2 linked regions of the Arabidopsis thaliana genome follow. The protein of the gene in region 2 interacts with the protein of the main gene of each other region in a biochemical or structural test. Each region holds a gene or a part of one and is shown on either strand. Other genes may lie near its edges. The genes, in order: DEG7 and PSBP-2.

Evidence for each region.
Region 1: the proteins of PSBP-2 (region 2) and DEG7 form a complex in vitro, tested with the Arabidopsis thaliana proteins (one study listed by BioGRID).

The regions. Positions count from the first base shown.
Region 1 is NC_003074.8:792,388-808,684, reverse strand, and holds DEG7 (DegP protease 7), read right to left. Parts: upstream 9,186-16,297; 5' UTR 8,966-9,185; coding exon 8,680-8,965; intron 8,391-8,679; coding exon 8,320-8,390; intron 8,177-8,319; coding exon 8,042-8,176; intron 7,784-8,041; coding exon 7,725-7,783; intron 7,524-7,724; coding exon 7,487-7,523; intron 7,165-7,486; coding exon 7,039-7,164; intron 6,586-7,038; coding exon 6,496-6,585; intron 6,054-6,495; coding exon 5,988-6,053; intron 5,894-5,987; coding exon 5,837-5,893; intron 5,714-5,836; coding exon 5,648-5,713; intron 5,424-5,647; coding exon 5,316-5,423; intron 4,997-5,315; coding exon 4,916-4,996; intron 4,570-4,915; coding exon 4,520-4,569; intron 4,364-4,519; coding exon 4,198-4,363; intron 3,797-4,197; coding exon 3,320-3,796; intron 2,763-3,319; coding exon 2,580-2,762; intron 2,509-2,579; coding exon 2,403-2,508; intron 2,273-2,402; coding exon 2,102-2,272; intron 1,983-2,101; coding exon 1,903-1,982; intron 1,824-1,902; and 11 more. Other genes in the region: AT3G03370 (uncharacterized protein), read left to right, coding at 9,804-9,837, 9,911-10,002, 10,122-10,241, 10,802-10,980, 11,091-11,262; AT3G03360 (F-box/RNI-like superfamily protein), read right to left, coding at 11,767-12,057, 12,123-12,305, 12,420-13,053, 13,179-13,180; AT3G03350 (NAD(P)-binding Rossmann-fold superfamily protein), read right to left, coding at 14,132-14,152, 14,337-14,438, 14,641-14,739, 15,057-15,149, 15,233-15,309, 15,568-15,757, 15,952-15,987, 16,129-16,192. UniProt on the Arabidopsis thaliana protein: Probable serine protease.
Region 2 is NC_003071.7:13,112,457-13,127,483, reverse strand, and holds PSBP-2 (photosystem II subunit P-2), read left to right. Parts: upstream 1-7,284; 5' UTR 7,285-7,639; intron 7,640-7,720; 5' UTR 7,721-7,887; coding exon 7,888-7,953; intron 7,954-8,039; coding exon 8,040-8,090; intron 8,091-8,176; coding exon 8,177-8,437; 3' UTR 8,438-8,547; downstream 8,548-15,027. Other genes in the region: HVT1 (helicase in vascular tissue and tapetum), read left to right, coding at 849-963, 1,125-1,215, 1,289-1,619, 1,774-1,848, 1,968-2,012, 2,185-2,278, 2,395-2,453, 2,558-2,683 and 6 more; AT2G30780 (Tetratricopeptide repeat (TPR)-like superfamily protein), read right to left, coding at 9,425-10,522, 10,677-10,937.

The sequences.
Region 1 (16,297 bases), on a different chromosome or scaffold from region 2:
CCTAGAATTTGATCACTATAAATCTATAATGTTATAGTCTCTGTTCATCAATTTGAGTTTCGAATTGAAGCTTTTTCAAGTTTGCTAAGATTTATGACATCATCAATTGGTTTTGATCGCAGCTTGAGGGATCAAAATCAAAAGTAAATTAAAAAGTATAAGTAGAAGAAAATATTAACATGGGAAATCTTTTGATTTGAACATTTTTACTGGATGTAAAATCCTTCAGTTTTTCTGTAAACTGTAGTGACAGGTCTTTTAGTATGATGAATTAATGAAGAATTTGAGTAGAAGAATGATAGAAATACAACAAAGTTGGAGCAATGAGAGACATAAGAGACTTTCAGAGAAACACCAAATGGCTTTTACTGCAAGGCTTTCAATATATTTCTCCGCCAAAGAGCAGTCTCTGGGTCGAACCTCAATTCCCAAGTCGGCCAGTAATGGAGATCTTGTTTCAGAGTCAATACTCGTGGCTTGCCGTTTAGATGAACAGTCCTAATACGCACAAACTGCCCGTGTTCTAGCTCCTGTTGCAACCAAAATCGAAAAGAAACAATCTAAGATCAAAATTTGGATCAGAGTAAAAGCAATCCTAATGGTTGCTGCATAACTCTTCTTCACGTCCAAACTAATTGAAAGTGTGACTTCTGTAAAGAAAGAGACAAAACCTTGGTAGCATCTGCGAATGCGTTTAGGTCAGGAGTCTTCTTCCCATTAACTTCCACGATCCATTGAAGCGCGTAGAGGCCATATCGGTGAGCGGGACTCCCGTGACACCATCTGAGAAGATAATTTGTCAAAGGGTATATCAAAGCAACTGATGAATTCTAGTCGGTTGAGACAAATAAATTGGTAAGAACCAGATTTTTTATTAAACCAAATTGAGATTTCATATGTAGGTCACAACTAACTAGTACCTTGTGACATAGACACCATGACCTTCCTCAGGAAGAAATCCAAGAGCACGAACCGCAGGATGAGGATCCTGAACAACGCATCCGCACCAATTTATCACTCTTGTCGTTCCATTCCCATCTCTCTTATCAGTTCCAACTACGAGCTCCAGTTCTTGGCCCTAACAAACCAACAAGAGATTAAATAAACACGTAGACCTAAAATTATTTGTGTCAAGAAACTCAAGAAAAGGATACGAACTACTTTTGTCACAGACTCAGGTGATAAAGAAGAAACAAATAAATAATAAGATGTTTCAAGAAAAATGAGTTAATGGTGTCACCTGTCTAAGGATTGTTAGATTGAGATTTTCATCGCTGTAACTACCCTTATCCAATGTTTGGCAAGCAGCTTCTATGTCATTGAAGCATGTAACTGGCATCTTATTGACTGCCAGAACCATATCGCCTTGTTCAAGAAGGTTTTCAGCTTTTGATCCTGCCAGGCAACCTTTAACACGCAGAACTTGACGTCTAACAGGATCCTTCTTGACTAGGACCTGTGAGAACAATCAATATAGTAAACGGATTTGAGAATGCCTAATTTTAGTAGACTAAGATTCTAAGCACAAAGACATATATTGATATAATAAACAATCTACGCAGAAATATCACAAAATATATTAACAAATGGCTTACTTGGATCCATTCATCACTCAGACCAAAACTCCGGGCTTTTGAAAGCAAAGTAGGATACAATTCAACTTCCAAAATCCGAACAAGTGGCATTGGCCTTTTGACACCATTTATGAGAAGAGCTGGTCCATTTCCACCGGTTATGATTTTTTCAAGGACTTGGCTGATTGCATATACTGGGATACCTCTGACAAACTGGTGGTCTTCTGAAGAAGTGGAACTATATTTAACCTGTGATCAATTCACAAGAGTAGCATGTTAGAAAGAAAAAAACACAAAAATTAGGTAACTGCAAAGTGGGAAGACGAACCTGAGTCGAAAAACTTCCCCAAATAGCCCGAATTCTTCCCTGCTCATCAGTCAGCGCCCCTGAAAATGAGCTACCAAAATCTACAAGAAACAAGAAAAAACGAAGTGTGATTTGAACAAGTCTAAAATAACTAAATTTAATGTCAAAGGCTCTGGTTTACCAAAAAAAAAAAAGATGTCAAAAGCTCCGAATTCTTTACCTGTATCAAGCTCAATTACTTCCATATTAGTAGCTCTGTAACGGGGAGAATCAGCAGAACCAATGTTTAACGCTGCACATGGATTGGTTACAATAGATTTTCTTGATGTAGCTTGAAGGTTCCTACTCAATCCGACAAGATAGACTGAATCTCCACGTTGGAGTGCAGGTTCTGTTCAGGCAATAGCCATAGAGCATATATATAAATCTTTTAAGTCATATTTTCACACAAGTATAATCACCTGTTAGATGGTGATATCCAAACAGGCAACGATGGAACTTTCAAATGGTTAACAACATACCAGGTAGTAGCTCAGCTGCACGAATGACTGAAGCACTGGCAGGATCCATTGCTGATGGATTATACGCAATCAGAGCATAGTTGTGAACGGGATGAAGAAATACTACCTGCAGTTCAGTTAAGAAAGATCAGTTCTAACACTTCCTTCCATGAACTATAAGATTCCCAGGGAAATTACCTCTCCAGGAATCTCGACTGGAAAAGCAGCAAAGGACAACATAACATCAGATGCAGAAATCGCAACTGTGTTTTTGTCCACCACAGCAAGCCCCATGTTAGAAGAATGATATATAATGATGCCAGTCCCAAAGAAATGTTGTGAGTGTACACCATCAAGACTGCACGATGGTGGCACATGAACCTGTATAAGAGAACTTAGATTCAACAGATGCAAGTTGCCTTGAATCACAATAAGAACTACTGTATAATTACTTTTTACCAAAAAAACGATATAAAGAAATAGTTAAAATTGCATATACCAGAAACATATTTAACCAAGATAGTAATTCAGTTCACCAGGTCATACATCTATGGTTTTCTTGTAGCCTCCATAGATTGTTATCTATCAGACTTGTAAAAGTAGTTACCAAATCTAACATGTTCTTGAGAAATAATCTAAGTAACTACTTTGTGTTATCAAATTGTACTCTTTGATGATGTAGGAACTCTGAACCTTGAAGTCAACATTGTATACTATTTTATACAGGTACGTTCAGTGACACACCCATCTTCTGTGCAAATTATTGAATCAACTGATACACCCAAACTTACTCAAGTATTATCAAATGTTGTGAATGAAAAATCAATTGACTACTAAGAATCAAAAAAGAAACAGTGAGAAATAGCACACCACATAAAAAGTATTAAATTTCAACAGCTGGTGAAACTGATAACTTTGAGAGAAGTTTTCGTCTTTACCTCAAACATGACAAGTGCAGGCTCAATAGCACGCTCAGCCAATGAAGCATTAGCAGACAGTGCTGTTGCACCTTCGAAGTCTCTTAAAACTGTAGTATCTGTTTCCATTGCATCATCAGATTTAAATTCACTGCCATATAAGGAACCGTTTGCAGCAATCCCATCTGAAGAATCCTCGTCAACTCTTTGTTTCTTTGCTTCTGAGCCAAAATCATTCTGAGAACCATCCCCACTAGAAGTTTCCATAATCGCTGCAATATCAGTAACCCCACGAACATTCACTTCATGCATGGGTTCCGTATCGTGATGGCATAGAGAAATATCTTGGCTTATAGGAAAGCCATTATTACCAATAGATGGTGAAACAGAAGCAGGTTCAATTGCAGGTTTCGCATCCCATAAACCGGAACTGTCATTACGGGTATACAACTGAGGAGGAGCGTACCATTCATGATGATCAATCGTGACTAACACAGACTGCAGGAATGGAACCCGACAATAAGTACTTCTCGTTTGAGTATTAACATAGAGTTCAAAACGAAACGTGGACAAGCAAGCATGTTAATAACAGGAACGTTGCTAACGCAAAAAGATCCACAGTTGTGAAAATTATAGTCTTAAAGATAACGGTTTTCCGTAAAAAGTGATCACAGAGATCTAGCAGCACTGCAGTAGCACAAAATTTCACACACTAGGAACACCGAGTAGAGAGGTAATATTATCACAGAATCAACAAACTGTTTGCAAGAATGAAGATGCTGATATGGAGTAGCCTAAGAAAATATCATATATAAATGCTAGCATCAAATTTTGACAAGTATATGCTTACAGTGGGTTAGGAAGTTAAGCAAAAAGATTGTTTAAACAAGAAATATCACCTTCTTGCGATGACGATCAGTGTGAGACATATATTCCAATGGAACACGAGCACCCCTAGAAAGCTTTGAAAGAACAGATACTAAGTCTCCAAGACTGGAAATATCCTCATTAGCAACCTTCTTTATGATAGCATGTCGAGGGACCCCAGCTCTAAATAGCATGTATCTGAATAGAAAAGAGCTCTTCAAAGTAAATCCAGAAATACAGAGACACGTAATCATTTACATTAACAATAAGCTCACATGTCAGAATATTGACACATCAGTCAAAAATAAATCAAGAAAACGTGAAAATTTTGATGGCGGAAGTAGAGGGAATTACCCAGGGTCCGCAACATAAGCCAGGCCACAAGGAAAACGAAAATTGCGAGCCTGTTAAATCACAATATTTTAAGATCAGCTAATGCCAATAAGAAAGTGTCAGTGAAATACGTGTAAGCTTCTTTATTAGCAGGAGGTAGTGTAGTCACATCACTATTTCACTTAGTTATGCTTCCATAATCAGATCTAGCAAGACAGTGTGGGGGATAAAGTGGATCCACAGCATTTATTATGAATAAAATATCTAGCATGTTGATATGATTCTCCAACTAATAGAACATTAAATAGTTACAAGCCATAATTAAACACAACAGTTCCACCTGTACGACACAAGAATATCATGCATGCAGGCACAGAAATTTCCAGATAATATCTTTTCAAGTCATAGTTAAGTTACCTGCTGATAAGACAACGGATGAATTACAGCACCGCTTACTTCCAGGAAGTGATCTGGAGTGATTGAGTGTAAATCTTGTACCTGTGGCAGGAAATACACAAACACATAAGGCTCTTGATTTTTATGATAGATAGGAAGTATAAATCACATTAAGGCAGAATTCTAAATGCAAATTAAGTATTGAGGAACTCCATCTATCAGGGGAAACGAAAAGAGCTACAAGAACAAATTTAATGACCAAAATAAAAGAGAAGAGACGGCTACATATATTTTACTTCTAGTCTTTGCATAGTCTCCTGCTTTTCTAGTCAGTATGTGACAGGGCAGAAACTAAACACAAGATCCTAGAAGACTACGAGGAACATAAAACCAAAGTTAGAAATAGAAGAATGGAACTCACTGATACACTAACAGATAGTGGTTGTCCACCCCTTTCAATCTCCAATTCAAGTATCTGGCCAACACCGTCATCAAGCAGATTCTCCAAGTTCAAAAATTGTGTGAGCACCTGTAATAACAATCAAACGCATAAAGGAAGATTTAGCAAACTGAGGAAAAAGGAACTAGACAATCTAAGTGCACTGATTAATACGTTCTGTGGCCAGGTAATAACCAATCTCTAAACAATACGTTTCTTTACTAATGTTGCCGCAAAAGATATCACAATTCTCGATTACTTGAGGCAAAAAAAATTTAAATTCTCACTAAGAAGATGCAATCAAGACAACTTACTGTTCCATTCACCCGAACAAGAACATCTCCCGGCTCCAAATGTTTATCAGCAGGGCCACTTGGCACCTACCATCACGACATATCAAATTTAGGATAAAAAGTTTCGAATTTAACCATCACTTAAACAATAGCCATATTCTTTGAAAATAATTATTGTATTGAATGTTATTAATAAAGCAATGCACTCACCACAGAATCGACAACAAGCATTCCTGTTTCCCCAGTTGGAGATGCATGTCGAACCACCTACACGATCAAGAGATAGCATTTTGTAAGGTGTTAGTGAGCATCACGAGGAAAGCTGATGCCCTAAATGATGGTAAGAAGGAATAGTATGTACCTGTTCAGTTTCGCTCCTGAGACCAAGTCGCCGTATCTCATCGAATCCTTTATGAAGAAATGTCATCTAAAGTACACAAGAAAACAGATAAAAGCTTACATAAGAAAACCCCAGAACTAATAATTAAGTAAGAGATATTGAACTTCCTCTGAATCTCAAATCTAACAATCGTTGGAAAGTGAATAGAAATTAAACCATGAACTATTTCAGATCCCAAGGATATTCTTTCTATCACCAGCCACAGTAGTCCAGATCAAAGTTCCATGGTCATTCAGATATCAAGTAATATTCACGATTTTCAACGTATATATTTTCCCTCTAGGATTTGAACACAACATTCATATCGCATACATTTAATTGACATACCATGTACATGTAATGGTATGTGTAGTTTTTCAGACAATAAACTGAACCCAGCTATTTAAAAAAGAGTCAAAAGTTGATATTCGCGGAAATTTTCGTAACGGCACTATGAAGAGTCTCAAAAATCAGAGAGGGAAAAACAAACCTGAAGTGTACCACGAGGAATATGAACTGCTTTTGGCTTATCCGTCCGCGAGTCAATGCTTTTTTGGAGAAAACTTAACGCCCTAACAACCTTCCAAACAAGAGAACCATTCTTGGTCAAAAGTCTTAAGCAAATTTCTAACTAAACTTCAAATTAATATAGGGGTTGAAATACAAAATGATTTGTAAAGAACAAAAAAAATGAGATCCAGAACCATGTCTGACTTTCCCAGTGTTTCCTACTAGATTCTCAGGATCCCATACATGAAAAGAAGAGATCTGAAGTAGATGTGTAGTTTATTCGTAACATTGTACACACTTCCAGCATGAACTATTTTTCGGAATACCAAGCACATTAAACAACCCTCTAGTGGAGGCTTTATACACTTATCAATTCTTAACTTTGACAGAAGCAGAAGCTACACAATAATCTAATGTTCTGAATTTACAGGGGTTATTTCAGTGACTAAATAAGTTACACCATCTCGATTCTAGTCGTAACTGAACCATCGATACAAGTATACGAGAAACAGAGATTGCTCACTCGTTGAAGTGGTAGGAAGAAGGCTGATGCACTTGACGACTTGCTGCCAGCATTCAAAGCTACTGCCCTGCCTTGCCAATCAATGACGGGAGAACCACTTGAACCACCTTTAGTACCTGATGCTGCCTATAAACACAGATACCATATTAACAAACAGTAGCGTATGTGTAAGGTTTACACTTTGAATAACAGTAGCATAACATACTTGTGTATTGCACAATAAGCTACAAACAGGAAAGTTTTACCCTAGTGGTAGACTCGTGATATTTTAGAGTAAATACGAGTAAGAGACACATTTTTGTGGAAACAGGGATTAACCATAAGCATGACACGACTAAGAAGAGAAAACAAGGCTTTGACACAGAGTGACAGCATGCAATTCAGTTCAAAATAAGTTAGTGACTAAAATTTAAAGCAATAAATATTAAAGAGGACAGAGTCACTTTACTTGCATATAAAACGTATTGAAGTCGTTATAACCATCCCTGCACCAAAAAATAAAATAAAAATTACAAAGCAGGTAGCCATAAGAAACTATAAAAGGTACCGGTGGTATATTACTAGTTCAACAATTACTACCTATATGAAATTACGAAGATTTCATGCAAGTATCAAGTAACATCAAACAAATTTTCATGTTGAGGAATAAGCAGAACTAAAAAACATGAGCAGTGAAGCAGAGATACTTTTTGTAATGTGGAGCATCCCGATCCAACCGCGCAAGAGTACCAGCCAGTATGGAAACCTGCAAATCAACACTCCAGTTACCAGAAGCATTACTTATCCATAAATGCGTCTTAATGCACCAAACATATATTAAAATGCATTTTTTTTTGCACCCTAAGTTTGACATTTGACAGAATAACTTGAACAATAGATAGACAGTTCTGACCTCATCAAAATTTAAATTGAGAGCTAAGTTGAGTAAGTGACTGCTTTTATAACATGAAACTGAAAAATACAGTCTAAAATATGAAGTAATCCGCCATCCTATGTATCTTACCTTTTCTCCGCTATCATTTCCAACAACCCTAATTTCGAGTCCAACAGAAGCCGCCTCTGGGGCAAGAGGAATTTCTTGGTAAGTCAAAAACTGTACAGCACTGGGATCATAACAAAAGAAGCCAAAGTCATGGACCTGAAAAGAATACCAAAGAATGTCAGCCTGATGACAATGGACAAGTCGAGAAGGGAGAAAAGTAAACATAAAAAGATGAGACACAAATTCTAGCTCCTGCAGATGCATGCTCATTTGATCGAACATAAACCGAAATGACTTACCGGATCCCTGTATACAGGATAGATTGGGATTTCCTCTCGGTTCACAAACATTGCCTCAGCAACTACTGGGCCTACGTAAGAAGAAAGAATTTACAAATCAATTTTACTGAACTCTAAAGAGATTCTCTGTCTACTCAAACCCAGAAGGAATGACCAAATAATCTCCATATCCATATCGAGCTAAGCCATTCTAGATAAACATGTAACTAATACCTATGGAAAATCGAACAATCCAAAAACAAATACTTTGAAAAACCATGATCAGTTCTACAGTTCCACAACAATAACATCATCTCTTATGAATTCTTGAAACCCAGCTAATCTTCTGACACTCGTTTCTCAACAAGTCAAAAGGCGCACCTGGCTTAACCACATGGCGATTGGTGAGGATGATCCCACGTCGCTTATCAACGATAAAACCAGTAGCATAGCTAGCACCGGCGGACTCGGTATCAAAGGCGCGACAAGCCGTTGTGCGGAGTACAACGACGGCGGGAACAACCTTACCGAGAGCACGACGCCAATCTTCAGCGGTGGCAACGGATTCAGTTAAGGGAGGATCGATCTCTAAACACAAGTCCTCCTTCATGACAGACTCAGTAGCCATTGATGCCTGAGAACCCAACCTCTCCAACGGATCTCCCATTTGATCTCCGTATCAGCTTGGGAGAAAATCCGCGGGAAATGGGGTTTAGGGTTTTTGGATCGGATTCTCTATACTCTCTCCTTCAAGGATATGAAGAAGAAGATTGGGGAAGAAATCTGATGATAGTAATTTGTTTTGCCTTTCTAAGCGATTTTTATTAGTATATTCTTAGTGCTCCGATTAGTTGTTAAGTATTAGAGTATAGCACATAGAATGAAATTAAATATCTGTTAAGACAAAATGAAATTATAGTATAATTTATGTTTTGGAAAAAATAAAACAGTATATTCTGACTAGGCTTGTACCGCGATTTAATAAAAATATTATACTTAAAGACTTACGTTTATATGATTTGTTAATTTGATAGTGGAGTTCTTATATGAAATTGAAATTGATTTTTCGGTTAGGTTTAAATTAGAATTGATTTTGGTTTCGGTTTACACTGGTTAAGAGAAGAAAACAAAAACAATTGCACGCGATGGGGATTTCAGAGAGGAGTGCGTAGATTAAAAAAGGCATGATTTCCAAAGGGGTACACCCACAGAAGTGCTCTCACGCGCTCAACGCTCACTTTGTGAGAGTGGGGGTGAAATACAGCCTTCTGATTGGTTGAAAAACTCTAAAAAAAGTGAAATAGTATACATGTTGCTAGCTCCATATTAGTTTTTCGTCTTCTTCTCTCAATCTGATGAAAGTTGTTGTTTTTAGGTACAATTCATTCTATTCAAAACAATTTTGACGTCTCTCAATCCCATTTTAGATACAATTGATTCTATTTCAGGTTTTGGGGTTATTTCTCAAATCGATTCCTGTCACCAAAATCAAAATCTGAAAGCAAATGGTTGATGAGGATCACTTAGAAGATTTTGTCTGTGTTTGACTATGGACTTTTAGAAAAGTGAGTTATGAAGCAGATCTTGAACTTGAATGTTATTTTGTTGGCAGGTTATACAGAGCCGTTGGATGATAATATTGAAGTATTGGTCCCTGATGATGACCATGGACTCTATGCAATTGACATTCTAGATCCCTCTTGGGTATAGTAAAGTAGCTAGATATTACTTTGTGCATTGGCTACTTGTATGCAGTTGTTAAGTTTAGGAGTGAGGATAAGTAAGATGGAAATTGTATCTGCAACCATTTTTGTATCATAAAGAAGGTTGCTAATGAGGACATTTCCGGTCTTGGAGATTTAGTATCTGTTCTTTCAAAGCTTTCTAGGGGTGCTCGTGTTCCATTGGAATATATGTCTCACACTGATCGTCATCGCAAGAAGGTGATATTTCTTGTTTAAACAATCTTTTTGCTTAACAAATCTCTGCTGTTATCTTAAAATCCTTGATGTCACCAAAAAGACACAGATTTTTGTGAATTTGTTATATGCTGCCAATGTTTACATTAAACGATTCTGTTTTCATCGAGTAAAAAACAGAGGATCAAAATACAACTTTTTGGAAAGTGATTTGACAATTTACTTTGTTTAACTCTCTTGATAACATCACTTCATAGGGATTGCTAACAGACTGTTTTATTTTTCAATGTTACAGCATCTGAATAATCTTCCATTTCGTTTTAAAAAAAACAGAGATTTTGATTTCTTCAGTCATCTGTTCTTGAGAGATCGCCTTGGTGGTGGTGATGAGTCTCTGAAATAGCCAACCATATACATTTAGACAACTGCCATTAGAATTCCACAAGGACAACCTATGACTGCAGCTTTCCATGAAAACATTGCTTCTCTGGCTGCTTGGTCTGTGTCGAGCATGGTTCTTGGATTTGCATTCCACATATTTTGTTGTTGTTTGCGTAAATGTTCGGATCGTTCAATCTGTCTAGCTGAGGACTCTCATGGATTCTACCTATAAGTTTGTTGTTGCTCAACTCCATACATTCAGCTCACTGAGCTTGGATAGTTTCTGCGGGATTTCGCCTGAGAGGTTATTGTGTGAAAGGTCTACCTTCTCAAGATTTCCAAAACTTTGTGGGATCAATCCAGAGATGTCGTTGTATGAGAGGTTTAAAAGCTTTAAGCTTTTGAGATTGCCTAAAGAATATGGGATTTCTCCGAATAGCTTGTTATGGAGAGGTCTATCAGAGTGTAGAGGCAGACGTTATTGTTGGCAAGACCTTGCTTTGAATTCTTCCAGTTCACTGCTAAGTTATGTATTACGATAGTGAAGCTGTATATGAAACGCAAAAGCGAAGATGAACTTACGAGAGATTCTTTCATGCCTGTATCCCAGGAGATGAAGGGAGAGATCCATCAAGATTGTTCTCAGAGAGATCCAAGACCTTGAGACTTGTGATATTTGATATGCCTTGCTTCTGTTCCTTAGGCCAAAATTTGTTCGATTCCGCAACTTCTTTTGTCCTAGGTTTGTCACCTCTGACTGATTCTTTGTTTATCTTAGGTACGTGGATCTCAAGGCATGCATAACTAGAATTGAAGAAAATGGATATGGAGCAAATCTTGCTCCTTGGCTCAGCTCCCCACCGGATAGGCTGCAGACAATGCAAATTGATTCTTACATAGCCCGAAAAGAACTCTCTGTTGCTGAATCAAAAGTACTGGAAAGAAATAATATCAAACTGTGTACATGAGAGCTGGATTTGGCGGGTACTGTTTCTCAAGGCAATGCTCGCTCACTAGACCGTTTTTCCGAGGTTAGCCAGTAGATTGGAAATGGTAAAACGTAAAAACAATTTCACAACTTAAAATCAATTTAACAGAATTCGATTATTTCAGTAAGAAAAACAAACAAGAGATTTTCATCTAGTGTACTACTTAAATGTAAAATGACTTAAGTCACTCTGAATCGTTTTCTTCTTGAGCTGAGCACAATGGAGACATCGTTGTTGCGAGGAAGCATTGGAACCATCTGACGCAACTCTACAAAACGTCTTCCTTTGATATAACCTTCCAACCTTGCGACAATCAACTCTAATGTTGATATGGTTTTAAGCACAAGTTGCAGAAACGAAGCCACTTGCTTTGACTCTACATTCCTGCGGGAAGTGTTCTTAAACTCCGAGCTCCAGGATGGATCCCAATTCAAGCCATGAGAATCCAAGTATATGTCAATATGCTCTTCCTGTAATGCAAGTATATTTCAATATGATGATTCAAAATTCGGGGTCAAGGAATATTCATAATTACCGGTATGGGATATGAGCCGGCAGACCCCATTGGGTGTATGGTTAGCTTCTTCAAGTCAGGCGAGTTTTGTAGCACCTTTACTATACCATGAATAACATATCGAGAGATCATTGTCTCAAGTATCAGAGCTTTAGCCTTCAACTTTGGAAAAGAAACACCACGGAGCTCGGCAAGAGATAACATCTATAACAAACAAAAAAAAACAGAAGACAAATGAGTGTATACCAAAAAACACACTAGTTTTCTTGAAAATCAGAGCCTAATTATGTAAACTAAATCAGGAGTGAAAACATATACCTTAAGAAAGTTTGCCCCCAAAGTAAGCTTCTCCACATTCTGACACTTTTCTAACATCTTTACCACCATGGTCTGATGAAAATCAGCCTCCAGTTTATTATCAACTATTGCGTAAGCGGTAATGTCTAGTTCAGCTTGGGATAAAGAGGAGACATCAACTAAAGCACATGGTTTCTCAGAGTTTATCAATCTGAGACAACGGATATGTGGTGCAACGAGCTGTGTTGGCTCCATTCGACATCTACGAGTGATTTCTAATGTTATCAGACGCGGTGATTTGCTGAGATCAAGGACCTTCAGTTTCTTGCAGAAAAACAACAATAAGCTTTCGAGAATGGGACAACCAGATAGAATAATAGCAATGGATTCATCAGAGATGTTGCAATGATACAATGACAGGTTCTTCAGGGATGTCCAAGACACAGAACATTTGGGATTCAGAGATATAAAATCCTTTTTGCAGCCGAAATCAAGGTAGAGTTGCTTGAGAGAGGAATTGATGTAAAGGAATTCAGGGATATCATATTTATCCTCATCGAGATACAGGGACAGATTCTCCACGTTTCGGGACATGGCGAAGTTGATCCAACTGTCGATGTCAGCATGCGTGTCGGGTCTGCTGATACAGGCTGCCCTGCAACAAGAACAGATACGAAAACTCATCATCTTGGGAGCCCTGTAGCGATCTAGGATTCTGTTAATACAAGGAGCATCCGGTCTGTCCCTATGGAAGGAGAGGGACCATGTATCAGACCATACATGCCTCCATCGCCTGGATAAAACGGAAGTTTTGATCGCCAATCTGGTTGGAAGATAGGAGAGAATTAGTTGGAGAATATCATCAGGCAACCTACTGATCAAGTCTCCAGCTTCTTTGAGATAGCTAGGGCTTGCGCATGTACTCTGCAATTTGTATAAATATCGCATCACCCACATAAGAGAAAAAGGATTGGATATTTGGATTATAGAGAGATATTACCTTAGAGGAAGAGAAAACAGTAGACGAAGCATCGGGTCTGGTCGAGTTTTCCTGACTTTCCTTCTCCATCTTTTCGGTTTCCGAGTTCACCTTTTCTTCTTGTATAAACTTTTAGATCTATTGACATCTATAATAAATTTTCGAAGATCACAATCTAAAAATGATATTTACCAATTTGTATATAATGATGATAAAAGGAAGGAAATATAGGGGAAATGAGTAAAGGAGAAGAAGGAGAAAGCAGTTACCAAAAATTAAATTACTGCCGGCACATATCTGCAGAGAAGGAAAGAATGAACAGTGATCAGCCTTGTGACAGCTTTGGCAGGAGTGTTGTCTGTGAGTTTCTGGCAGCAAGTGAATCCCCAAAAGCTTTTCATTAGTCTTCAATATACGCATCACATAACTTTCTTTTCGGTTTTTCTTTTCTAGGAACTCAAGTCCACTGGGCTCAAAAGCCTGTTGGATTACTATATACAGTAGTCCGATTTATCTCGTAGCTGCATCTGAAAACCTCTTGAGCGCAAAGAAACTAAATAGCAAAAGCCAAGGGAAGGCATGTACTGCACTAGATACATCACAAGCAGTACTGGCTGATAAATAGCAAAAAGAAGATCGTATATCAGCATCTAAACTGAGTGAAACATATGCGATTTTGACAAACAAGTACCTGATATGAAATCCAAGCTTCCTTCAAGCTATGAGACGCGGCGATTATAGTCAGTTCTGCATATCATTCAGATGACACACGCTTCTGTGTAGCAAAAGAAAAGATCTTTGAGTGGAAATAAAAAGAGAAAGAAGCCGGAGATAGAAGATCCTAATGTTGAAAAGGAAGAGGATTCTATGTGTCTACAAGACTGATTAGTTGCTTAAAGGAAAGGTACAAGTACAAAAAACTGACAACTTAATCAACAAATCACAATCAGTTAACCAACCTCATGAGACTTCTTGTCTTCCGAAGTTGATGTTCCTGTACCATTCAACGTTTCTATTGGACCAGGAATAACGACGGTCACTTTGATTCCCTCCTGACAGAACTGAAACCATAGGCAGATTGTGAACCAACTGTGAATTGTTACTTTATGGTGCTATTCTCAGCAATTAGTGAAAAGGAATGTAAAAGAAAAAATCAAATCAGAAAACTCTGAGGTAGCTGTGAGTTTTCTATTGTGACTTTCAATAAGTCATTAGCTGCCAAATAATTAGCAAGCACCACAGTTTCTTTAACTTTTAACATACCTCAGAACGCAAGCTGTGGAAGTAGCCGTGCAGAGCATGTTTTGAAGCAGAATATATAGCCTGTCCAGGTGATGGTACCTTTCCTGCAGCACTGCTTATCTATAGACTGACGTGAATTATTAATCATGACATTTAACCCAAGGAAATGGAAAATTAACACATACAAGAATAGCTAACCGTAGTTTGACTTCTCAAGATGTGTATACGGTAACATGATTTGGAATTTAGCAAGCAGAAGACAAAAATACAAAAGAAACCTTAAACTATCTATACATAGCTTAAAAGCCTTAGATTTAACATATAAAAAACGCAATGTATATCCATATCCATAAACTATGATATGAAGCTCAATCCTTCAACAAATCCACAAAATTAGGGCACTTAACAAAAACTATCCCTCGTTAGTCTCCACGTACCACAACAAAATGACCGCCTCCTTGTTTTAGCATATGAGGAGTGACCAACTTTATAAGAGTTATCGTCCCAAAGACATTGATATCGAATGTAGTCTGCACACAAAGTCATTGAATAATCATATGTCACCAAGCAAACCATTGTATGGCCTACGGATTTTATGCAATTAATTTAGTACATTGATAGTTTCCTCACTTGCATCCGATGCCTTGGATTTCTGCAAGAAAAAAAATATGATGATGAAACGACATAAAACTAAGGTACAGAGCATTTAAGGCAAAACCAACACAAATCTCAACCGTTCAAGGCTAAGACAAACCTAATGAAGAAACCTGACAAAAGCGTAGCCAGCAAATAGATTTGTATGAGGATGTTTTGATGGAGAAGGAACTTATAAGGATGCAGAGCTAATGCAATAAACTATTTCAAGATCAATGACGATTCTGATCACAATGCTGAGAAAAAACTAGAGAGTCAGTTTTAACAAGCATTTTGCAGAAGAAGGGAACTTACAAGAATGTTGAGCTTGCCACTGAATCAACTTATCCCTCTGATCTCTAACCGAACCAGACACCACTAAACCACTGGATTTGCAATCATTTAAGCATGCTTTTAGCTCTTCCTGTCTTGTAGTGTAGGAGGCTGCAGGAAGGCAAAGAAAAGCAACCAGTGACGCGATTTCCTCCGGTGCTGGTAATCTTAACTATGTTAACATATAACAGATCTTGCCTAATAGATGGAAAACTTACATGAGATCAACAAGCATCACTATATGGTTCAACAAAAAACCGTAAGCCTTCACATTACATGTATGGAATAGACAGATAGCTGATCATTCGAGGCAAAACCACCAAAAGTCTAAACCATTCAATCCTAAGACCAAACATATATAGAAACCTGATAAAAGTGTGGCAGAATGGTTCGAAGATTGTTCTATCGGATAAGAAACTTGCAAGGATACGAGCTAATGTGATATGTAGAATTTCAAGATTGGTGAAGATTCCAATGTGTAGAAAATTCAATAAAAAAAGCATAGAAAACAACAAATGTCTTTAGCATGAGAAGGGAACTTACAAGGATGTTGAGCTTGCCGCTGAAAGCAGAAGAAACTTCCTGAGTCAACTTATTCCTCTGATCCCTAACCATTTATGTGCAACTCCATAGTCAAACACAGACAAAATCTTCCAAGTGATCCTCATCAACCATTTGCTTTCAGATTTTGATTTTGGTGACAGGAATCGAT
Region 2 (15,027 bases):
ATATTTGCTCTATTAAAAATGATTAAATAAATAATAATAAAAAGTATTTCCAAATAATTTTTTAAAAAACATGTATTTATAATATCTCCAAATAAAACATAATCATGATCAGAAAATCCAATTAAACACATATATCCATAAAAATTAAAATAGTTTCGTCAATTCAATGTTAAATCATTTTCATCTAAGTTAGGAATGAATGTTTTAAGTTTGACAAAGAGACGAGAAAACTTTAGAAATCTCCTCCCGTTTAATGAATCAAAATTATAGTCTTTGTACTTTTTGGATGATCTCCTAGGCGATGCTCCAGATCCGGATCGGTCCACAACAGTCCATCGTCTCACCTCGATAAGTTTGACAAGATCTCATTCATTCTCCTGGAGTTGGTTAGCATTCCAAACTACCATTTACCATCTATACATTTTCTTATACATTTTGTTACTTAACCTGCACAATTATAGTAGTTACGTCACTTTTTAGTACTTGTAAGATTTTGCCACTAGTTTATAGTATATACATTACATATAAGTACAATATAACATTCCTTACTCATAAGATTTTGCTTATCAACTACAGACATACATAGAAGTTGGAACATTTTTAGAGCCCAAAGGAATGGGCCTAGTATGCCGAAGCATTAATTTATTTTATTTTCATCAAAAAAAAAAAGAAAAAAGAGAAGGCGGTTTATAATGCCAGCAAACTCTGCAAGGGCAAAAACGAAACTCATCGAACAAATTTCGAGGCTTTGCTTCTTGAATCTCACAAGAAGCCGTACAGTTTCTCAGCTTTCTAGTGTTTTCTCGGGTAGAAGAGAGATAGAGAGACAGAGCAAAGCCTAATAAGCGATGGGGAACAAGAGATTCAGGTCTGATAATAATGCAGGGAAACCAACTTCCGTCGAAGCTACTAGGATTTGGGCGACTAAGGTCATCGAAGACTTTCGAGCCTCTGGGAACGAAGGTGAATTTAGCTCCGGGAAACCAAGTCTTCTCCTTTGGATTCTAATTGTTTCCTTCTCTGACCGATTCTTTCCAGAAATGATTTTATGAGTCTGAGATTGATTACATAAAGCTCTAATCTTTGGGAATTTTATTGAATTTTGGTTGCATTGTGTTCTGTAGTTTACACGTTTGAGCATAATCTATCAAATAACGAACGTGGAGTGATTCATCAGATGTGCAGGAAAATGGGTATTCAATCGAAAAGTTCTGGGTGAGTTAGTGTTTTTGGGTTTGAGAAAGTATTCATTTTTATTGTTTCTGATTCTGGGGGATGCTTTTAATAGGCGTGGGGAACAAAGGCGTCTTTCGATATTCAAAAGTAGGCATAAGAATGGAAACAAGAATGAAGCTAATGAGAAATCAAATAAAGAGAAGCTCAAATGTGTGTCATTTCCGCCGGGAGCAGATGTTATTCTGCAGGAGTTATTTACTCATTACCCACCTTGTGATGGAGATACGGCTGCAACATCGTTTACCAAGTACTCTGGTAACAAGGGTAAACAAGGACAATGGAAAGATGATTTTTTCCGGAAACCACAGATTAGCAGTGAGGAGATTCTAGAAAAAGTGGCATCTTTGAGTTCTAGACTTAAGAAGGATAAAGCTCTTAAGGAGGTTAGGATTAATACCCTGTTGCTGAGATGTGTGTCTTTTGTTTGAAAGGACTGTAATTTATGATTCTTTATCCGGAATACAGATTGAGAAGTTATAAATCATGTCAAGTATCAGCAAGTGAAAGGAAATTGTTTTTTGTTGATTTATGTTACAGATCACTAAGCTGCGGTCAAAGCTTCCCATCACATCCTTTAAAGACGCAATTACATCTGCAGTGGAATCCAATCAGGTTCTGTGAAATTTTTGATATGTTCTCTCTTAGAATTTACTAATTGTATGGTTATGCTTGCTGTGGTGATTTCCACTGCTTGAAAAAGAATTCATCATACATTCTTATTGTAAACGCAGGTTATTCTCATTTCTGGTGAAACTGGTTGCGGGAAAACTACTCAGGTGTTTGTTATCCCTTGTTTTTCGGTAGTCTAGTAGAATGATCTCCTTAGAAATTTTGCTTACTGTGAGCTGCGATTGTGATATTAGCCATGTAAAGAGTGTTCAGTTGAATTTGCGTTCAATATTTTCATTCTCGAGGTTTCTCAAGTGCCTCCATTGTTTAATGTTTTAGGTGCCTCAATATCTTTTAGACCATATGTGGTCAAGCAAAAGAGAAACTTGCAAAATTGTTTGCACCCAACCTCGTCGGATATCCGCCATGTCAGGTTGACATTTTTTTATTCAGCTATGTATTTGTGTTGATCTTTTGAAATTTCAAGTTTATCCACATGTACGCTGTATAATGCTTACCCCTTACTGTCTTTTTATCCCTCTTTTGAAGTTTCTGAAAGAATATCTTGTGAAAGAGGTGAAAGCATTGGAGAAAACATTGGTTACAAGGTTAGTAATCTTTGTAGGTAGACATATTTGCGTTTGTACATGAAAGGTGATTGTGTTTCAATATTGTAGACAAGTGCACCATTGACTTTATATGTAAATCTCAGGTTCGACTCCAAAGCAAAGGTGGAAGGCACTCATCAGTTGTTTTCTGCACGAATGGTATTCTCCTGAGGGTGCTTGTAGGAAAAGGCTCTGTTAGCAGTGTTTCCGACATAACTCACATCATTGTGGTACTTTACATATTTCTTATCTGCTCTGCTATCATGTGCCTATTACGTGTGTGTTTCATATGTATGATGAGTATTATCGGAAAATTAAATCGCTTGTCAACTGTCACTATGAAAAGCCTTCTTGTTGCTGTTTGTCATCCCAGATCCTCTACCTTTCACTTTGGCTTTAAATTTAATTCTGTAGCTTTCTACATTGATCAGTGCGTTCATGTCTTTGTAGGATGAAATCCATGAAAGAGATTGCTATTCTGATTTCATGTTGGCAATTATAAGGTAGACATCCTTGCTCTCAAACGTTGAGGTTCTCAACTTGTCAATTGTCTATTAATCAAATCAAGTGTATGTGACCTAAGAAACTGATTTTAAGGCTATTGTTTAATGCCGCACCATAATTTATGTGCTAAATAATAAACTGGTACACATGTATTTATCTTCTCTTAAGCCGCAAACCATGAAAGAAGATAATTAATTTACTTTCTTTGAATGTATGATATAACTCATATGAATTTCTGATGCTTTTGTTGATTTGCAGGGATTTGCTTCCATCAAATCCCCATCTCCGTCTGGTTAGTTAAGCTTTATGTTCTTCTTGCTTTTCACTGCAATGGTACACTTATAACAAGAGAACAAAATGAAGAAGGATTGGCTTTGTTTATGTTTCTTTTCGTTTACTAAATAGAAGAGGGAAGCGGATATATTAGAGGGGGTGACTCTATACGGCCTTGTTACCTCTGAAAAGAAAGGAAATAGAGTAGGTTTTGTATTTTTAAAGGTGTCTCCTTCCCTCCGGTATTAGAAATTAAAAGATGACACAATACAAGTTACAAAATAGATTTCTTTCCTGCTATTTTTGTGTGTTGGCGAAGTGACGTTCTTAGAATTTTCAAAAAAGATACTTGGTCGAAAGACACTGAGAACAAGTGAACTCCGACAAAATTGTGTACATAGCCTAAGAACCTGAGATAGCTGGACTTGATGGCTTGGTAAACGTCTTTGAATATGGCCTGACTACAGTACTCTTTAGCTGATTTTTTGAAAATTTCTGGACCAATAGATTCTCATGAGTGCTACGCTTGATGCTGAGAGATTTTCTGGATATTTTGGAGGTTGCCCGGTTGTCCGTGTCCCTGGATTCACTTATCCAGTTAATTTCTCTTTTTCTCTCTATATCTCGAATATGGTAATTCTTTTATGCCCAAATATAATCTCCTTGCTTTGTGTCTACAGGTGAGAACCTTATATTTGGAGGATGTGCTCTCTATTCTGAAATCAGGTGGAGATAATCATCTAAGCTCTACCAACTTGAGTATATCAGACCACAAGCTTGATTTGACGGATGAGGATAAACTTGCTTTAGATGAAGCAATCATCTTGGCTTGGACAAATGACGAGTTTGATGCCCTCTTAGATCTAGTTTCTTCTAGAGGAAGTCATGAGATCTACAATTATCAGCACCAATCAACCTGGCTAACACCACTAATGGTCTTTGCTGGAAAGGGCAGGATCAGTGATGTCTGCATGCTCCTCTCCTTTGGTGCAGATTGGAGCTTAAAGTCTAAAGATGGTATGACTGCATTAGAATTGGCTGAAGCAGAGAATCAACTAGAAGCTGCTCAAATAATCAGGGAGCATGCAGACAATTCCCAGTCTAATTCTCAGCAAGGACAACAGTTACTTGATAAATACATGGCGACAATCAACCCAGAGCAGGTCGATGTGAGTCTTATACAACAGTTAATGAGGAAAATATGTGGCGATTCAGAAGACGGTGCGATTCTTGTTTTTCTACCTGGATGGGATGATATAAATAAAACAAGACAGAGATTACTTGAGAACCCTTTCTTTGCAGATAGTGCTAAATTCGACATTATATGTCTTCACTCAATGGTTCCAGCAGGGGAACAGAAGAAAGTTTTTAATCGCCCCCCTCCAGGTTGTCGCAAAATTGTGCTTGCGACAAATATTGCTGAATCAGCAGTTACCATTGATGATGTGGTTTATGTGATAGATAGTGGCCGGATGAAGGAAAAGAGCTATGATCCTTATAATAATGTTTCAACTCTCCAATCTTCTTGGGTATCAAAAGCAAATGCAAAACAGCGTCAGGGTCGAGCAGGCCGCTGCCAACCTGGCATTTGTTATCATCTCTATTCTAGACTTCGGGCAGCCTCTATGCCAGATTTTAAAGTTCCTGAAATCAAGAGGATGCCGGTAGAAGAACTCTGCTTACAAGTACTGCTCCTCATTTAATTTCTAGTTAATAGCAATTGGTTCTATGCTGTGAGCCGTTCGTGCGTATGCAATCTCTTACTGATCATTGCCCTTTGATTACATTCTCAGGTTAAGATACTTGATCCAAATTGTAAAACAAATGATTTCCTTCAGAAACTGTTGGACCCGCCTGTTGATCAAAGTATTGCAAACGCCTTAAGCATACTACAGGATATTGGTGCCCTGACACCTCAGGAAGAGCTGACAGAACTTGGAGAGAAATTTGGTCATCTCCCAGTTCATCCTCTGATTAGCAAAATGCTATTCTTCGCTGTGTTAGTAAACTGTCTGGATCCAGCACTTACTCTGGCATGTGCAGCAGACTACAAGGAACCATTTACGATGCCCATGTCGCCTGTTGAAAGACAGAAAGCTGCTGCTGCAAAACTTGAACTTGCATCACTTTGTGGAGGTGACAGTGATCACCTTGCAGTTGTTGCTGCCTTTGAGTGCTGGAAAAACGCAAAAGGAAGAGGTCTTTCAGCAGAGTTTTGCTCTCAGTACTTTGTCTCTCCAAGTGCTATGAAGATGTTGGATCAAATGCGTAGCCAACTTGAGTCGGAACTTAAAAGACATGGGATTATTCCTAACGACATTTCAAGTTGTAGCCAAAATTCGCGTGATCCCGGTATACTCCGTGCTGTGCTAGCAGTAGGATTGTATCCTATGGTGGGAAGATTGTGCCCAGCTTTTGGTAATAATCGAAGAACTATAGTAGAGACTGCTAGTGGTGCTAAAGTTCGTGTCCATTCGCTGTCAAACAACTTCAACTTGTCGTCTAAAAAGTATGATGAATCTTTACTCGTTTTCGATGAGATCACTCGTGGAGATGGAGGCATGCACATAAGAAACTGTACTGTTGCTCGTGATCTTCCTTTGTTACTTATCTCAACAGAGATAGCTGTGGCCCCTACAGGGAGCAGTGATTCTGATGATAGTAATGAAGAAGAAGAAGATGATGAAGAAGTAGCAGCTAATACTAATGAAGAAGTAGCAGCTAATACTAATGAAGAAGGAATGGACATACATAAAGAAGAGAGTAGGCGTGGAGCGAAAATGATGTCTTCACCTGAAAATTCAGTCAAGTTAGTAGTTGATCGCTGGCTGCCTTTCAGAACCACAGCCCTTGAAGTTGCTCAAATGTACATTTTGCGGGAACGACTAATGGCTTCTATTTTATTCAAGGTGAGTTTAGAATCCATTATGCTTAAAACTACTCCATACTTTTAAGGGTTCTTTTATTTGATTTGATTTCCAACTGTTTATTGGCAATTTGTAGGTAACACATCCACGGGAACATTTGCCACCTCATCTCGGAGCTTCTATGCATGCAATAGCTGGTATTCTCTCATATGATGGTCATGCAGGACTTTCATGTCCACCGGAGTCTATGGTACCAAAACATTCAAGGACTGAGATGTATGATACCGGTGGATGGGAAGAGAAACCAAACTCTTTCCTTAACTCACTCTTTTGGTCTCTGAGTTTGAAAGAGAACAAGCATCCTAGTCACACGAATAGGAATCAGCAGCATAACTACAACATGGCTCCAACAGAAGCTGCATCAATACCTAGGCAGCAAAACTATAAGCAAAGAAATCCCAAAGCAACCAACAATACCGATTCGGGTAAGAAGAAAGAGAAGATGTTTGTTAATCCCACCAATAGGATTAACCAGCCTGAAGCTGCTTCTACGGGTAAGCCATCAAAGCACAAATCAGCCAACAGTTCGGGTTCGAGTAACAAGAAAGAGAACATGCCTTCTGATCAGGCCTATGGGAATAAGCAACATAACACAGTTCCAAGAGAAGCTGCCGCACCAATGGCGAAGAATCAAAGCAGTAAGAAAACCAAGACCAGGTCAGGCAACAACTCGGATTCGGGTAAGAAGAAAGAACAGTATATTCCAAAGAGGCAACGCGAAGACAAAGCAGAACAGAAGTGAGATGCATGAAAAGAGATTGTTTTTGGTTTTGGGTTTTGGTTTGGGTTTGGGTTTGGGTCCCATGAAAGCAGAGGAATTGATGATGTATAAACAATTCATGTTTGGATCCATGTCTCTTCGGTGGTTCTTGGCTCAAAGTGTTTCTATTTATCTAATCATGAAACGGAGTTTTTAACGGTTTCATGTTGCTCTAATATGTTCCAGAGTATTGTAACTATTGTTGTTGTTACTCATAAAGCCTCTTCTAGCAGTTTCATACTTTCATTTTACTTCCAGTGAGATCAAACACGTCGAAATTCATTCAGACCAGTAGGCTCACAGCCACGTGGCAAGATGGAGCACTTATACAACCTTATCCCGACATCCAAACAGAAGATTAGATGCCCAAAAATCCAAAAATTAGCCAATAAACAACTCTTTTCTTAAACTCCATATTTACAAACAGTTTCATCACTTTGGTCTTCAGGTTGCAACAAGAAAGAGAAAAAAAGAGAATGGCGTACAGCCCGAGCTTCTTACACCAGAGTGCACTTGCCTCCTCTGCCGGACGATCATCATCTTCATCTTCATCGTCGTTTCGTCATGTGTCCCTCTCGAGACCCGTCCATTTAGTATGTAGAGCTCAACAGTCTCAGGAAAACAATAACTCTGCTGTTTTCCGCCGTCTTGCCCTTACCTTACTCGTTGGTGCTGCAGCCATCGGATCCAAAGTCTCTCCTGCGCCGCCTATGGTGAAGCCGGTATGATCCCACTTTCTCTATATACATTTTGAGCATATATCAATGAGAATCATGAAGCAAATCTTGATTGTTGTTTTGCAGCTAATGTGTTTGGTAAGCCAAAGAAGAACACAGATTTCCTGCCATACACAGGAGAAGGATTCAAAATCCAGATCCCATCAAAGTGGAACCCAAGTAAAGAAATTGAGTATCCAGGACAAGTACTAAGATTCGAGGACAACTTTGACGCCACCAGCAATGTCTCTGTCATGATCACTCCTACAGACAAGAAATCCATCACTGATTACGGTTCTCCTGAACAGTTCCTCTCTCAGGTTTCACTCTGTTTTTAAAGCAAAAACGGTTCAATCAGACGATAATCACCACAACACAGCTGATGATAGGTTTCTGGTTTCTGCAGGTGAATTATCTCCTCGGGAAGCAAGCTTACGTCGGCGAAACAGCCTCTGAGGTAATTTCCTTTTCTAGTTGGTGAAGGAGTTTTTGGGTTCAAACAAGAACCAATACCTTAAAGAGTGTGACTGATCATTTTTGCAGGGAGGGTTTGATGCAAATGCAGTAGCAACTGCAAACATTTTGGAAACATCTACACAAGAAATCGGAGGGAAAGAATACTATTACTTGTCGGTTCTGACAAGAACAGCTGATGGAGATGAAGGTGGGAAGCACCAACTGATAACAGCCACTGTGAATGGTGGAAAGCTTTACATTTGCAAAGCTCAAGCAGGAGACAAGAGGTGGTTCAAAGGAGCTAGGAAGTTCGTTGAGAATGCTGCTACGTCCTTCAGTGTTGCTTGATATGAATCATAAACATTAATGGAACGCTCTGTTATCTGTTGTCTTCTTCCTCATTGTCCATTGTATAAATAATGGATCAAGAAAAGAAAACAATCATTTGATATCTATAACTATTGTTTATCTTTCTCTGATCGTTAAAGTACTGCAAAGAATTGAAATGACAAGGAAACAAAAATCTTGATAAAATTAAAAGATCCATGGCTTATTCGTGAGAACTTGTAAATTTAGTAACTGAGATCCCAGTGACGTCTCACTATACTGAAACATCATGTGTAGCTGAGCTATCTGTTTTCCTCAAATTTACAAACAGGGCTCAAGCCTAAACAACAGAGCAGTATGTGGATGTAAGACTGTGATAGCCTAACAACAACAAAAATTAAGTTACGACAATCTGGAAATTTAACCCAGGGGTGGCAGAAAGAGAAACCCGCTGCAACATCGGTCAGGTTTCTCTTCAAGGAAATAACTTCACTTGGCAGAGCCATCAAATAGGAAGAAAATCATAGCTCTTCTAATCGTATCGGCAAACACAGGTAAGACGTCCAGATAGAGCAGGCACTGTTCTTCATGGATCACAGAGAATTTGTTTTACCGAGGTTTCTCATCTGCCAACAGGATCAAAATCTGCCATGGAAATTTCAAACCCTGCCTGTAACATGTACAACTATGGCAGACTAGTGATGGTTGAGTCACTCATGACGGAAAAGAACTGTGGACTAGTCTTATCCCAAAACCCCTAATGACGGATTATGGAAGCATATCCAGCATCTTTTATTCAGCCTCATGGGGGACAGTTCTACAACCTGATTGCTAAAAAGGGAGACCAAAGCTAAGCACAACTCCCTGGTAAGTCACTATAAACAGGAGACTTGTGAAAACGCAGAAACAGCACTAACCATTTGATACTCAGTTTGGCCAGAGTTCACACTTGATAAAGACACTGAACAAATCGAAACAACAGAATTCTTTGTGCAAACTGAAGTGCATCTAAAGCCCACGTTTCAGCATCTTTCCCTTCACTTTCTCAGCATCTGACTCCATTCCATGGTTTTTATAAGCTTTAATCATAATGGCGAACGTTTTAGTTACAAGCCCATAATTGGTCTCTGCCATCTCATTTACAACACCTTCCATTTCTTCAAAGCGTTTTTGGGATCCATACATCATGATCTTACAGTGGTAGAGAGATCTGCATAGTTTCCACCCAGCAGACTCAGCACGCTTGACGAAATTAGCAAGATTGTCAACTTCATTACACCTGAAGTAAGCTGCAATGATTGCTCGCATGATACTTGACTTATTAACACATGTCTTCTGCTCAAATGCCTCGTTGATTTTACTCTCCATTGCTTCCACAAAGTCTTCTTGAGCATATAGTCGAATCAAAAGCACATTCAACCAAGGAAGATATTCCTCCCCAGAGAGAAGACTCAATAAATTTTCAATCTTTTGGACTCTATCCTCAACAGCTTTCTTACAATATGCACAGATCATAGCTCTGACCAAAGGACCACTGTTTACACCAACCTGATCTTTAATCACTTCATACATTTCTTCCATCCTATTCAAATTCCCAGAATTTGCATACCCACGAAGCATTAGCTGATAAGTATCTGTGTCAGGCTCAACTGGACCCCTCTTCATTTCTTGAAAAGTAGCTTCCATTTTATCCCAATTCCAGGCAGTCATGTAACCCGCAATTAGAAAGTTGTAAGTGACAGAATTAGGAGGAAGCTTCACTTTTTGTAACTCTTCAAAAGCTGCTTCCATATTCTTTACCATCAAAAGTCGACCATAAACAGATACTAGAATATTATATGTCACAACGGTCGGCGCACAATGCGTTTGCCTCCTGAAATCTTTAAAAAGCGACTGACATTCCTCAGCAAGCCCGTTCCACATGTAAACACTCATCAAAGAATTATAAACTGAAGCAGTCTGCATTCGTTTCTTAGCCGCCTCATCGAAAAGATAGACTGCAAGGTTAATATCCCTAGCTCTACCCGCAATTTTGATTCCTTTAGCATACTCCTCCGATGTCAAGGGGATACAATAATCCTTTTGTCCTCTCCTCCACTCTAAAACCTAAACATTAACATAACATCAAAAACCTACGAAACAAACTCAACTAATCTACAGTGATGCTAATAAAGATTCAAACTTTATAGACTACAAAAGATCAGGGCAGTGGCAAGAGTCAAACTTTATAGAATTCAAAAGATAGAAGAAGAAAGGAAACCTGAAGAGCTAAGTAATGACGAGGAAAGAGTTGATCCATAAGCTCTAAGATCCCAGCACCATCACGATAAGTTCTAAACAACCATTGCCCTTTCTGATCCAAAACATTTTGGAACTTCTCCTTACTGTTACCAATCGTTAAAAGCTCGTCTTTTAAAATCGAAACTCTTTGGACCAAATCAGTGTGATGAGCTGGTAAGCTAGTTACTCGGGTGAGTTTGCCGATAAATTGACTGCCGAGTTTCACAAAATTTGATGCCATGAATTACGAATTTCCTTGGAGCTGAAGCTCCGGGGATTACTACTAATAGACAGAATCGGATCTGAGGATCTGCAAATTGTGCAGAGACCCCAAAATTAGGGTTTATGGTAAGTACTTAGGAGGAGAAGAAGAAGAAGAGTGATAATGGGCCTGAGGCCTTAAACTTCGGTTAAGTAGACCGGTGCATCAAACCGTATGCTAATTGTACTTGGTTTACGGTTTACCCATTCACAATTTTAAAATTAAATTGCATTTTTCCTATGTATTTTAGACTTTAGAGAACCTATATTTTATTGGTAAATATGGTTTTTGATATAAAATAATTTAATCATATTAAATGTAAGACTCGGTAAATTTACGATTTTATAAATTTTTACAAGTTTTAGCTAATTGGATTACTGATTATATAGTTTTTTTTACTGATTACATTTATGCAACTCTAAAATGCCTTAGTTTTTGAACCTCACTTTCTACTTTCTCTCTTATTGGGAGGCTCTCCAGTAACCATGTTTTATGTTTATATATTCGTTGGGTTCACGGTCACAACCCTAATATTGTGCTTAGCAAAATTTGAATTTGTCTCTTTCCAGTGTTTCCATATTCAACGTTGTTGAATATTATTAAGATTTTATGTTCTTGCGCACACCAAAATGTGTCTACGTCAACGTGGGCTCGCGAGGTCTCTGAGTTGAAAAAAAAAGAGATTTTCTTCTCATATTTTTTAGAGAGAAAAAACAACAATAGACCATGTGTTGTGACACACCTCCACCACCTGCTTAATTTGGCACTAAATGGATTTAATTTACTACTCGTCACTTCAAACCGGTGCCGACTAAAAAGCTAACATTTATTTTTGTCCGAAAACAGCAAAAAAATGCTACCAACAATTTCAACGGATGCTAAACTTTTGGCGCTTATACACCATTATGCATTATAATATATATATATATATAAATATTCCAAAACATCTTGTTTCTATTCAAAAATTTGTAAAAACTCGATAAATACTTTGACGTGGTTACCCCAAAAAGAAAAAAAAAATACTTTGACTCAAAACAAAGATAATTCTTTTATATTACAAAGGACATTTACATATAAAACTGGATTAAGGGCGTACAAAATAGCAACCAACGGTAATCTTAACATTATAGTAAGAAATAGTCTCGCAGATTAAAACCTATATATATCACCTCCGATCCCATGATGGAAAAGTGTTTCTGTTTTAGAATATGCATATGTAAAATAAAATAGTGAAATTAAAATTACTTTTTTCAACACTTAACAGATGTAGGCATTTCAAATTTTGAATTTTACTGCTAGCAGAAAATATCCAAAACTTCCAGTACTATTTTTGAAATAACTACATATATACAAAAGATTCTTACGTTATAGGAAGATATAAAACTAAACTCAATTACTCAAACATGTTAGTAATAATAAGATTCATATATCTGACTTTTTGATATTTAAAATTTTCATTGTAATTGGTAACATATAATTTTTTCCTTTATTTTTATAATCAGAGGGTGATACAAATTTTATCGCTCTACTAATCCTCCCAAGGTTAGTGTAACAGTCGAATACTTCATTCACCAAATTTCTTAGTAAATCTTAAAACAACTCTACTGTTAAAACAGAAAATTTTCCAAATTGAATAAGTAAACGAATAATCAAAATTTTCATTTACAATTTAAATTAAGATTTTTTTTTTTTGTAGAATATATGAAAATACATGAGCTAGCTATTTGTAGTTGTGAGGAATTTGAGATTTTTGAAGTTTGGCTGACTCATTCAACAACTAAGTAACATTATATCGGGTCGCATTCAACAGCTAAGTAAGACCGGCCGGGTAACTTACTTAACTTCAGTAGTCGACACTTTGATTATTTTAACTAAAGTAACTTCGTTGTTGAATGGGTAAGTCAAACTTCCAAATAAAAGTCATCGTATGTTTGGAAAAGTAAAAGTCATCATATATTCTAAAAACATAATATATTAAAATCATATTATTATACGGATACACGTTTTAGGTCTTTTACAAAAGAAAACCATCTACATGGCAAATAATATAATTCAAAGATGAATTTGGATCAAACACATTTTGAATCAAAAGTGTTAATTTGGTTTGTTAATAGACAAATAAGTCATATAACCAGCATGTAGGACAGGGGTTCTCCTAGTATTTTACGTTAAAGGGATATTATGTGTTTATAAATGACACATATATATAGTAGTTGTCACATTTTTTTTTCTTTGTGAATTAATAACCACGTGATGAATTCTATTCATGAGAATTTCTCAGCTACAAATGAATGACTTAAAAATGTGGCTGCAACAATTTAAGAAGATAGATTCATTGCATAAGGAGCTATGTGAGAAAAATCATTAATAGGGAATCAGTGAGGACAAGATAATTGGTTGCACGCACTTTTACATAGAAAAGTCCTGGAAGAAAAATCAAATGTTTGACAGAAATAAAAGATTATTTGGGGAAATGTTTTATGAATTGTGTTGGATCAGGTCCGTCATGCCTTATTAATTTTTTCGGTGGAACCAAAAAATCATACGATGCCTTCCTGTTCTACACGAGGACTGGACAACACATGTCAATACACATCTAAACTATAAAAGAAAATTTTGACAAAATATATATAATATACTGTATATGAAAGGCAAAACATAGTTATCTATATAATATTTTTTCAACCCAGTAGGTCAAAATGTATTTAGATCAATTTGATATTCGTTTATTTAATAATTTTTATCTATTAAATTTTTTGATAGGTCTATTCAAACAAAATTTGATTTTAAATCCGTTTTCAAAAACTTTTACACCGAATATTTTTATATTTAAAATATAAATATTTCTAAAATTTGGTTAAAATTTAAAACTATGAATATACTTGTTTGATTTTTAAATATTTTAAATCATATTGTAATTTTAAATATTTTAAAAACAGACATATATTACTCCGATTAACAAAAAATATGTGGGTTTAATATCATATATATAAAGTAAAAAATTTAGACAATTATTCAAAATCATATCATAATTAATATTAACATTAATAAAAGAAATAAGTTTTTTAACGGGACAAATTTGACAGAATATTACTTAATAACAATTGTAAATTATAAAATATAAATAGTTTAGAAAAAAATACAATTTGCAAACTTTTATATATACTAACTTAAAAAAAAAATCGTTTCACGGTGTATCGCGGGATAAAATCTAGTTTATCCAGTAAAATATTGTTAGAATTGCAAAAAAAAAGTTTTTTCCAAATTATTTGCTTCTATTATCTTTATGAAATAATATAAAAAATAGTGAAACATTTAAGAATCTGAAATTAGCTTTAATTACAAAAACTAACCCTTGTTTTCAAAAATTTGAAAAAATACTTTTAGTAAGTAATAAGACAATACACATTTGATAAAATTTGAGAAATGCAATTACTAAATAGACAATTTTTCTGAAACGTTATATATTTTAGAATAAAACAAGCTTATTTTAACGGTAATATATGTTAAGATGTACACAAGTCATGGATATACATCGATTTTACTTTGAATCCTTCTAAGTTCATCATCACTAGTCTTACGAATAAACTTCTATACATCACTAGATATACATACGACATGGATATATATATCAATATTACGTATGCACTCAAAACTTCTATATACCCTTAATACGTCACGGCAATGTATGTAATTCTTTCGAGGTTTGAAAAAAAAAAAAAAACTTTATTTTATTCTTTCTCACTTCAAACGTTTGATGAATCACGTCGTTCTTTTTATATATATATAAGAAAACGTCGATCTTAAGACTTATGTACGAATTATATAACAAACTTTTGCAGGATTTACTGAGTTAAAGTAGTTTACACTATATTTACAAAGATTGTTGTGACTTCTCTGATATCAAATTAAATTAAAGTTATAAGTAACTTTTTATGAAAGAGAATAAAAGCTTACAACAAGAAAGTAGCTAGCAAAACTAATTAAATTTGGCTAATAATAGTTTATTATTCATATCAATAGTTATTTTTCAACTCTTCTTTAACTTGTATAACTATTGATATTTATT